2 linked regions of the Callithrix jacchus genome follow. The protein of the gene in region 2 interacts with the protein of the main gene of each other region in a biochemical or structural test. Links are inferred from orthologs where the notes say so. Each region holds a gene or a part of one and is shown on either strand. Other genes may lie near its edges. The genes, in order: NGFR and NGF.

The links.
Region 1: the proteins of NGF (region 2) and NGFR form a complex in vitro, tested with the Homo sapiens proteins (2 studies listed by BioGRID and IntAct, with this or other methods). The link is inferred for Callithrix jacchus from reciprocal best matches to the Homo sapiens genes NGF and NGFR.

What each region holds. Positions count from the first base shown.
Region 1 is NC_133506.1:116,811,762-116,816,159, forward strand, and holds the start of NGFR (tumor necrosis factor receptor superfamily member 16), read right to left. Parts: upstream 2,985-4,398; 5' UTR 2,860-2,984; coding exon 2,794-2,859; intron 1-2,793. UniProt on the Homo sapiens protein: Low affinity receptor which can bind to NGF, BDNF, NTF3, and NTF4. Forms a heterodimeric receptor with SORCS2 that binds the precursor forms of NGF, BDNF and NTF3 with high affinity, and has much lower affinity for mature NGF and BDNF.
Region 2 is NC_133508.1:153,271,530-153,275,334, forward strand, and holds part of NGF (beta-nerve growth factor), read right to left. Parts: intron 3,132-3,805; coding exon 3,008-3,131; intron 1-3,007. UniProt on the Homo sapiens protein: Nerve growth factor is important for the development and maintenance of the sympathetic and sensory nervous systems.

The sequences.
Region 1 (4,398 bases), on a different chromosome or scaffold from region 2:
ACAATGCAGCCCAGAGACTTGAGAGCTGGCAGGGGCTCGCTCTAAATGCGTGGGCCCAAAGGCAGAGCGCACGATTTAATCTCTCAGACTAATGACAGTTTAGCACCTTGACGCCTTCCACGATCTGGAAGGTAGGGGAGGGAGGCAGCCTGGCATATGGAGGAAAGAGAACATCCCAGGCCAAGCATCCCGGCTTTCAACAAAGGTGCCACCACCGAGTCACTCACTGAGGGAGCCTGGTCTCGGGCCTGAAAGTCTGGAATGTTCTGTTTCCTCAACTATGAGGTGGCAATAACTAACTTCACCTTGCTAGGACTTTTTAAGTATTAAATAACTCAAGAGAAAGTACCAGGGCAGTGCGAGCACGTAGTAGGGACTCAGCTCATTCGATTATTCCCACCTCCCCACCCGGGCCCCCAGGGAGGAAGCGAGGCGCTTGAGCCAGACTGGGCTGGTACAGCGGGGTGGGGGCCCATCACCCCGGAGCTACCTCCCCATCCACCATCCACCCCAGCCCGGCAGCTCACGCACGCCCATTTGCTGCCCTCGCTCCATCCGTATTGGGCGCATTAGCCAGCCCGGCGGCTCTGGTTACAGACGTCTGAATGACAAAGTGCCTCCATTACCGGCGCGGCCCGCCAGCCGACCCGCCGGGACGCGCTCTGGTTTCAGCGCTCTCTCGCCGCGGCCCAGGAAGAAACTCGGAACGCGCACAGCTCGCCCAGACGCAGCAGCCGCGCGCAGAGGCGGAGGCGGGAGCCGCAGGGGCTGCAGACGGCAGGTTCCGGTCCGGGTCCACCTTCACCAGCGCCCAGGCTCTCCGCGCCCAGCTCCCCTCCTTCCTTGAGTCTCGGCGCGGGGACCCTCGCTCCTGCTCAGACCGGGAGCCCACGTCGTCGTCCCTCCTCCCCGCCCCCCTGGTCCACGATGTCCCACCCGCAACGGAGCGGTGTCTCTAACCGGCAGCGTTAGTCAGCAGACGTGCCCGCGGTCACTCCCAAATCCCCGGACACGGCCACAGGTCCCGACAGCTCCAAAGAACCGGGGCTGAGCTTTTAGGGTGGGGCCCGCGCCCGGACAGGGTCTCTGCCCACCCTACCCGCAGGCTCCACTGCCACCTGACTCTGGGGAAGGTGTCAAGCCCGCCCCTGCTGGGAAACGCAGCCTTGACCCCGACCTGGGACAGCGGCTGCCCCCTGAAGAGGTGGGGGAGTGCGGAGCTGGGAACCAGGTTGGGGGAGTCTAGCCACAACTCTGGCCCAACTTGCTGTGAGATCTTGGCCAAGTCGTTTAAACTCTCAGAGCCTCAGTCTCCCTATCTGTAAAACCGGGATTTGGAGCGCAGCGCTCAAATGAAAGATGCTGGCAAGGAGAGTGAAGACACCTCCTCCATGGCCAGACCTTCCCGGGCATTCGGTTCATGGCCACACAGCAGGCCACACTTGACAATCTCGTCGGACTGCCGGGAGGACTGAGTCGCCGACCTTGGCCGAGTTGGTGACTCAGGACACGGCGCGGCAGAATCCGAGACGTCCGGGCGCCCCGGTCTCGTTAGGTACCCAGTGGCTTGCACCGAGAGCCAGGCGAGGCGCAGACACGATCCTGACCCTTCGAGGCGCGGGAGCCCACGGAGCGCGGTGGGCGCGGCGCTCGGGTCGCGCATCTCGGTAGGGGGCGGAGCGCAGCCCCAGACTCGCAGGCAGCAGCAGACGGCACTTGCCTCGCCCCGCAGCGCCCCCTGCCGGCTGCCTCCCGCCTGCGCGGGACGGGTCCCCGCCTAGTGCGCCCGGGCGCTCTGCACCCTGAGACGTAGGCGCCGCCAGCCGGGGTCCGGACACACCCGCTCCATTCCTCGCGATCCGCCGCGCTGCTTCAAGCAATGAGAACACGCGCGTCGGAGGAGCCCGCCGGCCATGGGGGAACTTGGGGAGCGGGTTCGACCTGGCGAAGTGGGTGCTCCCCTCCCAGCCTTAGATCGCAGCCACAATTCCGGGACTGGGAGAGGCCATGAGCAGGAGCGCGGGGACAGGCGCGGGAAATGTCCAAGACTCCGCTCTCACTTCTCGTCTCACTGTCCCTCAGTGGGCCCCGATCACTTTAGGGTGCGCGCCCCGCTCCGTCCGCTTTCCTTTTGCTTCCATCTCTCTGCAGCCCTGGCTGTTGCCCCTCTTCTGCCCTCCCTAATCCACTTCTGGTCCCCAACCTCTCCCTCCGACGCCCCTCCCCCCCATTGTCTGGCCGGTCCCCATTGTCCTTGCCGGGTCCCCTCTGCCTCCAATCCCTCCGACCTCCTCCATTGTTCCATCCCCTGGTCCCGGGCTACCCCCCACCAGCCCAGCTCGCCCCTCACATCTCTAGTCCGCTTCCCGTTCCCCGTCCTTTTCTCGCCTGGGTTCCGTCCCGCGACTCTCCAGAGACAGAGATGCTGAGGGGAGAGTCCCTCCGGGATCCCGGCATTGGAGTGTCCTCTTCCGAAGAACCCGGGCATCAGAGAGCCCCATGCCACCTCTCGAAAGACCCCTCCCAGCTCCCTCACCGCCCCCTACGGTACCTGAGGACCGGCATCCGTGCCCCGGTCGTGTCCGCATCTCCACCCTAGACTCAGGGTCGCCTCTGCGCTCCGAGAACCCTAGACCCTCCTTCGTGGTCCCAGCATCAGAGCGCCTCTCCCACCACCCACCCTCAGCATCTGGGACCCCAACGCTCTGTTCTGTTTCCTGGGTGGCGGCGCCCGGCTCTCCTCGGAGTTCTCATCCCGGGAAAGGGAGCGGGCCCCCTCGGGCTAACACTCACCCCCAGAAGCAGCAACAGCAGCAGGCGCGGCCCGTCCATGGCGCGGCCGGTGGCACCTGCCCCCATTGCTCGCCTCCCGCGGCAGCGCAAGGCTTCCAGCTCGGTCCGCTCTGCGGACGGATGGGGCTGCGCTGCGCCGTGCTCCAGCGCACCCCGCGCCCGCCGGAGCTGGCCGCGTCTTGGCTCACTCTGGCCGCGGGCGGGAGGGGCTGGGTGAAGCCAGTGCGGCGGCCCCGCCTCCGCCCCGCCCATCCCGCCCACCCCCGGAACCGCGCCCGCCCGCCCCGCCGCCTTAGGGTGGGGAGCGGAGGCAAAGGGAGGGCGTGCGGTTCCCCGCACCCCGCTGCCACTTCTCCTCGCCTTGTTCCTTAGAACCTCTCACCCATCCCGCCCTGGTACCCAGTTCCCGGCCCGCGCTACTGCGCGTCGGTCCCGGATGCTGTGGGGCCCAGGGCCCAGGGCGTCCCCACTGCGGTTCCCGTTCTCTCCGGCTGCGGCCCGCCGCAGGGTTCATTCTCTTACCCATCTTCCCCCGCCTCTGGCTTCACCTTCTCCCTGGAGCCTCGCTCCCTACCTGGCCACTATCAGTAAGAATGCCCGCTTGCCCTCCCTGCCCTTCATCTCTGTCCATCACCTCATCTCCACCCCTGTGCCCACCTTTCTACTTTCCAGTGAAGAAAGTCCCTGGGCAGAGTCCTAGGGGGAGGGGAAGGGCGCAAGTGGCCTGACTTCGGCCATGGACATTCAAGGTGGAGTCCATTTCCACATTTGATTCTCAAATGAGGGGTTCGAAGGGGTCACAGGTGTGCACACAGCGCACAGGAATACACATTCTCAGGCTCACCTGTAGGTGTGCTTGTGCACTTACGTGTGCCCACACTGTCCTCCATGCACTTGTGCCGACCTGTCTTACACATGCATCTCTGCAGGCATGCACACGCACATATGTTATTCAGACATGCAAAGTGCTTACCTACACATTCACACATGCATGTATGTAGGTAGTCATGTCTGCAAAAGCCCTCACATGTATACAGTCACACAAGCGCACACACATTCATGAGCGCACACACACACTGACACTCATAAACAAACAGCTGCATCTTCAACAATATAGACGCCACTAGACTGTGAGTGGCTCCATGGGCTTATAAGCTCCACAGGCAGGGATTATGGTTTCTTCTCCGAATTCCTGGTGTACAGTAGGAGTCAAGGAAGTTCCGTAGAAGGGAATAAATAGAAAAGTGAAGTGGACTCATATCTGTGTGCCCACCCATATACTAGGACCAAACTCGTCTTGCCCTAGAAACCTTGGAAAGTCTAAATAACATGCTTCCCAACCCAAAAAGTATGCCACCCACCCCCACGCTTACCCCTTGCTTGTTCCCTCTATTTCTGTATTCCCATTCATCAAGACCCTGGAGCACAGAGTTGGTGTTTGGAGATTTCTGCAAAGCCCATCCAGCACTCAAATTTTGGCCATGTTCAGATTTCAGTTTCCTCCTTGAAAAAAAAATTTCACTACCCTCCCAATTATGGAAACAAAAGGGAGATCAAGAGCACCTATGGGCCGTGTATGGTGGCTCACGCCTGTAATCTCAGCAC
Region 2 (3,805 bases):
TGAAACTGTGCTTTCCCTTCCATTCTCACCTGTGGGCCCCTAGTTCAGGTAATGGGAACAGTCTCCCACCTGATGTCCTGGACCCCCATCTCTCTTCTTCCAATACCTCTTATCCCTGGCCACCCCAGGTAACTTCTTAGAGTCTGCTCTGATCATATCACCCTGCTCAGAGGAGCTGGTGCCAAGCCCCTTGTCTATAAGCCAGTAGGGACTTCTCCGCCTGGCATTGGGATCCTGCCTCCTTCTACTCCCCTCACATACTTTGCATTCCGGGCATACAAAACTCCTGGGGGCAGTCCATCGCTTGGGCTTCCCCACCACTGCCCTGTTTCAGACTCTTCCCCTCCAGGTACGTTCTCTTGCTCTCCCGGGGCCTTTTTGGCTCTCCATCTCTGCTGGTGGAATCCTTCCTGCTGTCCTTCAACAACTTCAATGCCACCTCCACCGGGGAGCTTTTTCTTATTCTGAGACAAACTCCCTTCTCTATCTCTTAAAGCCTTCCCTTTATGTTCTCTTAGGGCAGTTGCACTCTCTTATCCTCCCTTCTAGAGGACAAATGCCCTGTAGGCAGCAAAGTTTCCTACTCATCTTTGTTGACTCCCAGGTAAGTCCACCTCCAAGAACCCGTGAGCATATAGACAAGTCTCCTGCCTCCAGTGTTTCCTAATTCTCCATTAAGTGCTAATGTTGAAGGGATCTTCCCACTATGATATGCTTTGATTTTAAGCCATTACGAAGTTCTCTACTCTGCCTTGCATCTACTGGTTTGACTGAACTGACTTCACAAAAGTTCAGTTCTTAACTGAACACTACTTCTCACCTCACAGTCAAGATGCCAAATGGTGCCTGGTCACATTTAATCACAATGGAGATTTGTATCACAAGCAGATTATTTCATTAAGACTTGAAAATGTCTCAAGTATATCCCTCATTTGGATTTTAGGTTTAAAGTTTTTTTTAAAAAAATTTTAGTTTATTCATGAGAGCGTGTTCCTATAAACTTTTAAGTTAAAAAAACTCGATTAAAAATGATCAGTAGATAAAAGAAGAATCGAGCGCATCTTCTGTTCTAGTGATATAATGCAGTTTAGAAGAGAAAACTCTGTTTTTGGCTGATGTGAACCAGGGGAGAAGTTTTATTTATTTATTTTTTTAAAAAACCCGTTGAAGCCTTTCTCCTGAACAGATGACAGCCTTCTGTGTGGCTTCATGAAGCAGAGCTCTGCAAGCTGAATGGTCAGCAGGGAGGATGCGATTAGGGGCTCATGTGAAGGAGCATGTTCTATTTAATGTGAGAATGCTCTTTAATTGTGCGATTCCTACCCAGAACGGAAGACCCATGACTGAGAGAGGGTGGCCCATTGGGATGCCTTTATAACCAGCCACTGACGGGCTGCCCAGCCCTCTTGCCTTGTCCTGAACCAGCCGTACATTCTGCGGATTTCTAGTAGTTCACGTACTCCGATAATAGAAGAAACTTCTTGCACTAGGTGAATGATCTTCAAAGATTCTGCCTCACCTGAATAGGCGATGAAGCTGCGGGACAGAACTAAGCAACTGACCCAAATATTTGTGGCTAGGAGGCCTGATGGCACTGGGAGGCTTGGCAGCCATGCCTGGGGAGGTGTGTTGTAGAAGGGAGTGAGAGAATTCCTGCCTCAGAGAGAGCCATGTGAAGAGCTGCAAGTGATTCTCAAGCTAGAGGCTGGATACATGAATCCGGGTCACTAACTTGGCAAGAGAGGAAATTCTTGTGGCCAAGGAAATCCAGTCTCCTCCTCCTCCATCTCATTCGCCACATTCTGAGAGTGGGTCAAGGGTCATTTCTTGTTGTATGTGGCTTGGCCTTCACTCTACATGTTAACTGGCTGCTGTCTTCAGTTTTAAAGGCTCGAATGCTCTTAGGGGTTGGAGCTGGTGTGGAGTGTGAGAGGAATTCTCTGGCTCCTCATTTCCCCAGCAAGAGGTGCCCTGGGCTGGGCTGAACAGAGGGAGGCATTGACAGAATAAAATCCAGAGCCTCTGTTAGTATCTCCCAGACAGGATTTATTGGGAGGAGGCATGGCCTTGAAGGTACATCAGAGATTCAAGTTCAAAGGCTCTCAAACTTCAGGGCATCAGAATCACCTGGAGAATTTGTTATACTATAGACTTCTTGGCTCCACCCCCAGAACGTCTGGTTCTGCAGGTCTGGTAGGAGGACATTAAGAATCTCCATTGCTAATAAGTTTCCAGGTGATGCTGATGCTGTTGGTCTGGGGACCACATTTTGAGAGCCATGAGTCTAGCCTAATTCTTCAACTTTGTAGAAGACAAAATGAACCTTGGGGAGCCACTGGACTCTTGCAGGGCTGGTGTGCCGGCTGCATGAATGGGAACCAGATCTACTGATCTGAATTCTTAGAGACATACCTTAACATGAATGAGCTGAGAAAATAATGATTATTATTTACTGGGCATAATTTTCTATTTAACCATTATGCAAGCCTGGGAGGCTGGCCATATTATTCCTATTTTACCGATGAGAAACCAGAGTTGCAAGATTAAGTAATTGCATTACAGGCACACACCAAGCAGAAATAGAACTCATAGCCAGCCCTCCCGTGTGCGGATCTGAACGCTCCACTCCACTGGCCCAGGGCAAAAAGAACAGCTGCGAACCTTCCATTTCACAAGTTCCCGGCTCAGTCAAACTAGAGAGTTGTGTGGAGGGTTTGACTGATGCTGTCTATTCAATGCCTTGTGTTCTGTGACTTTAGACCTTTGATGTAGCTTAGACTCCTGCTATGTCCCGGGAGGTCGTGGGGCCAAATTGAGGATATAAAAGATTCCTCTCCTGAGTGGGCTAGGCGGGCTGTATTTGCTGTATCACTGACAGCATCTCCAGGCCCCTGCTGCTCAGCAGTTGGGTATGTCTTGCCCTCTCAGGTTCTATCACTTGGGTCCCCTGCTTCTGGCAGCTGCAGAGGTAGGACCTTGGCAAGGCAGAGGCCCCTTAGGCACTTACCTCAGTGTGACCAGGATAGAAAGCTGCTCCCTTGGTAAAACTGTTATTGGGTCCAGACCCTGAGCTGAGCTTGGGTCCAGCATGCCATCTAGCCCCTTGGACTGCACGACCACTGGCCAAAACTCTGTGGAGGGGGAGAGCCGACATTAGACTGGTACCTCACCACCTTCCCTGTTCCCTACACAGCGGGGAGGGATGTGCCAATAGGACAAATTCCATTTCCCTGATTTCTGGGATTTTACCAGCATCAGGGCCCAGGAAGGAGCTAGAGTTTGGCCACCAAAATTTACCTGGTCCTGGCCTCTCATGGTCCTGTGGCGGCACATGCCTCTCACTCTTGCACCATACCTTTTGGGTTCAGCCTGGACACAGTCCATGGCTGATCTTGCACCTAGCGCAGGTGTTTCTAGACCCACGCCAAAGTCCTGCCCCAGCAGATCGTGATCCAGCATCCAAGTGGAAATTGTTCAGTACATCACACATGCAGCTGTAGTAGATCCAAAGCTGAACCAGCCTAGGATACATTATACAGAAGCAAAGGCCCTGACGGTTCAGAGCAAGTTGGTGCTTTGATAAAAATGTGGATGAGTAATGGTGACAAATGAGACAGCCTGACCACTTGAGAGAGAGTATGGAGGCGTCACAGAATCAGAGAAGAACCTCAGAGCACCGTGTTGAAATTCAGATTTCAGGACTGGACGCTATGGAGCCGACACGATTTAAAAAAATCAATTTTAGGCTGTAGTTTCTAGAAACAATGGAAGGTTTCTATTCTCCTCTCGCTTCTATAACCTAATC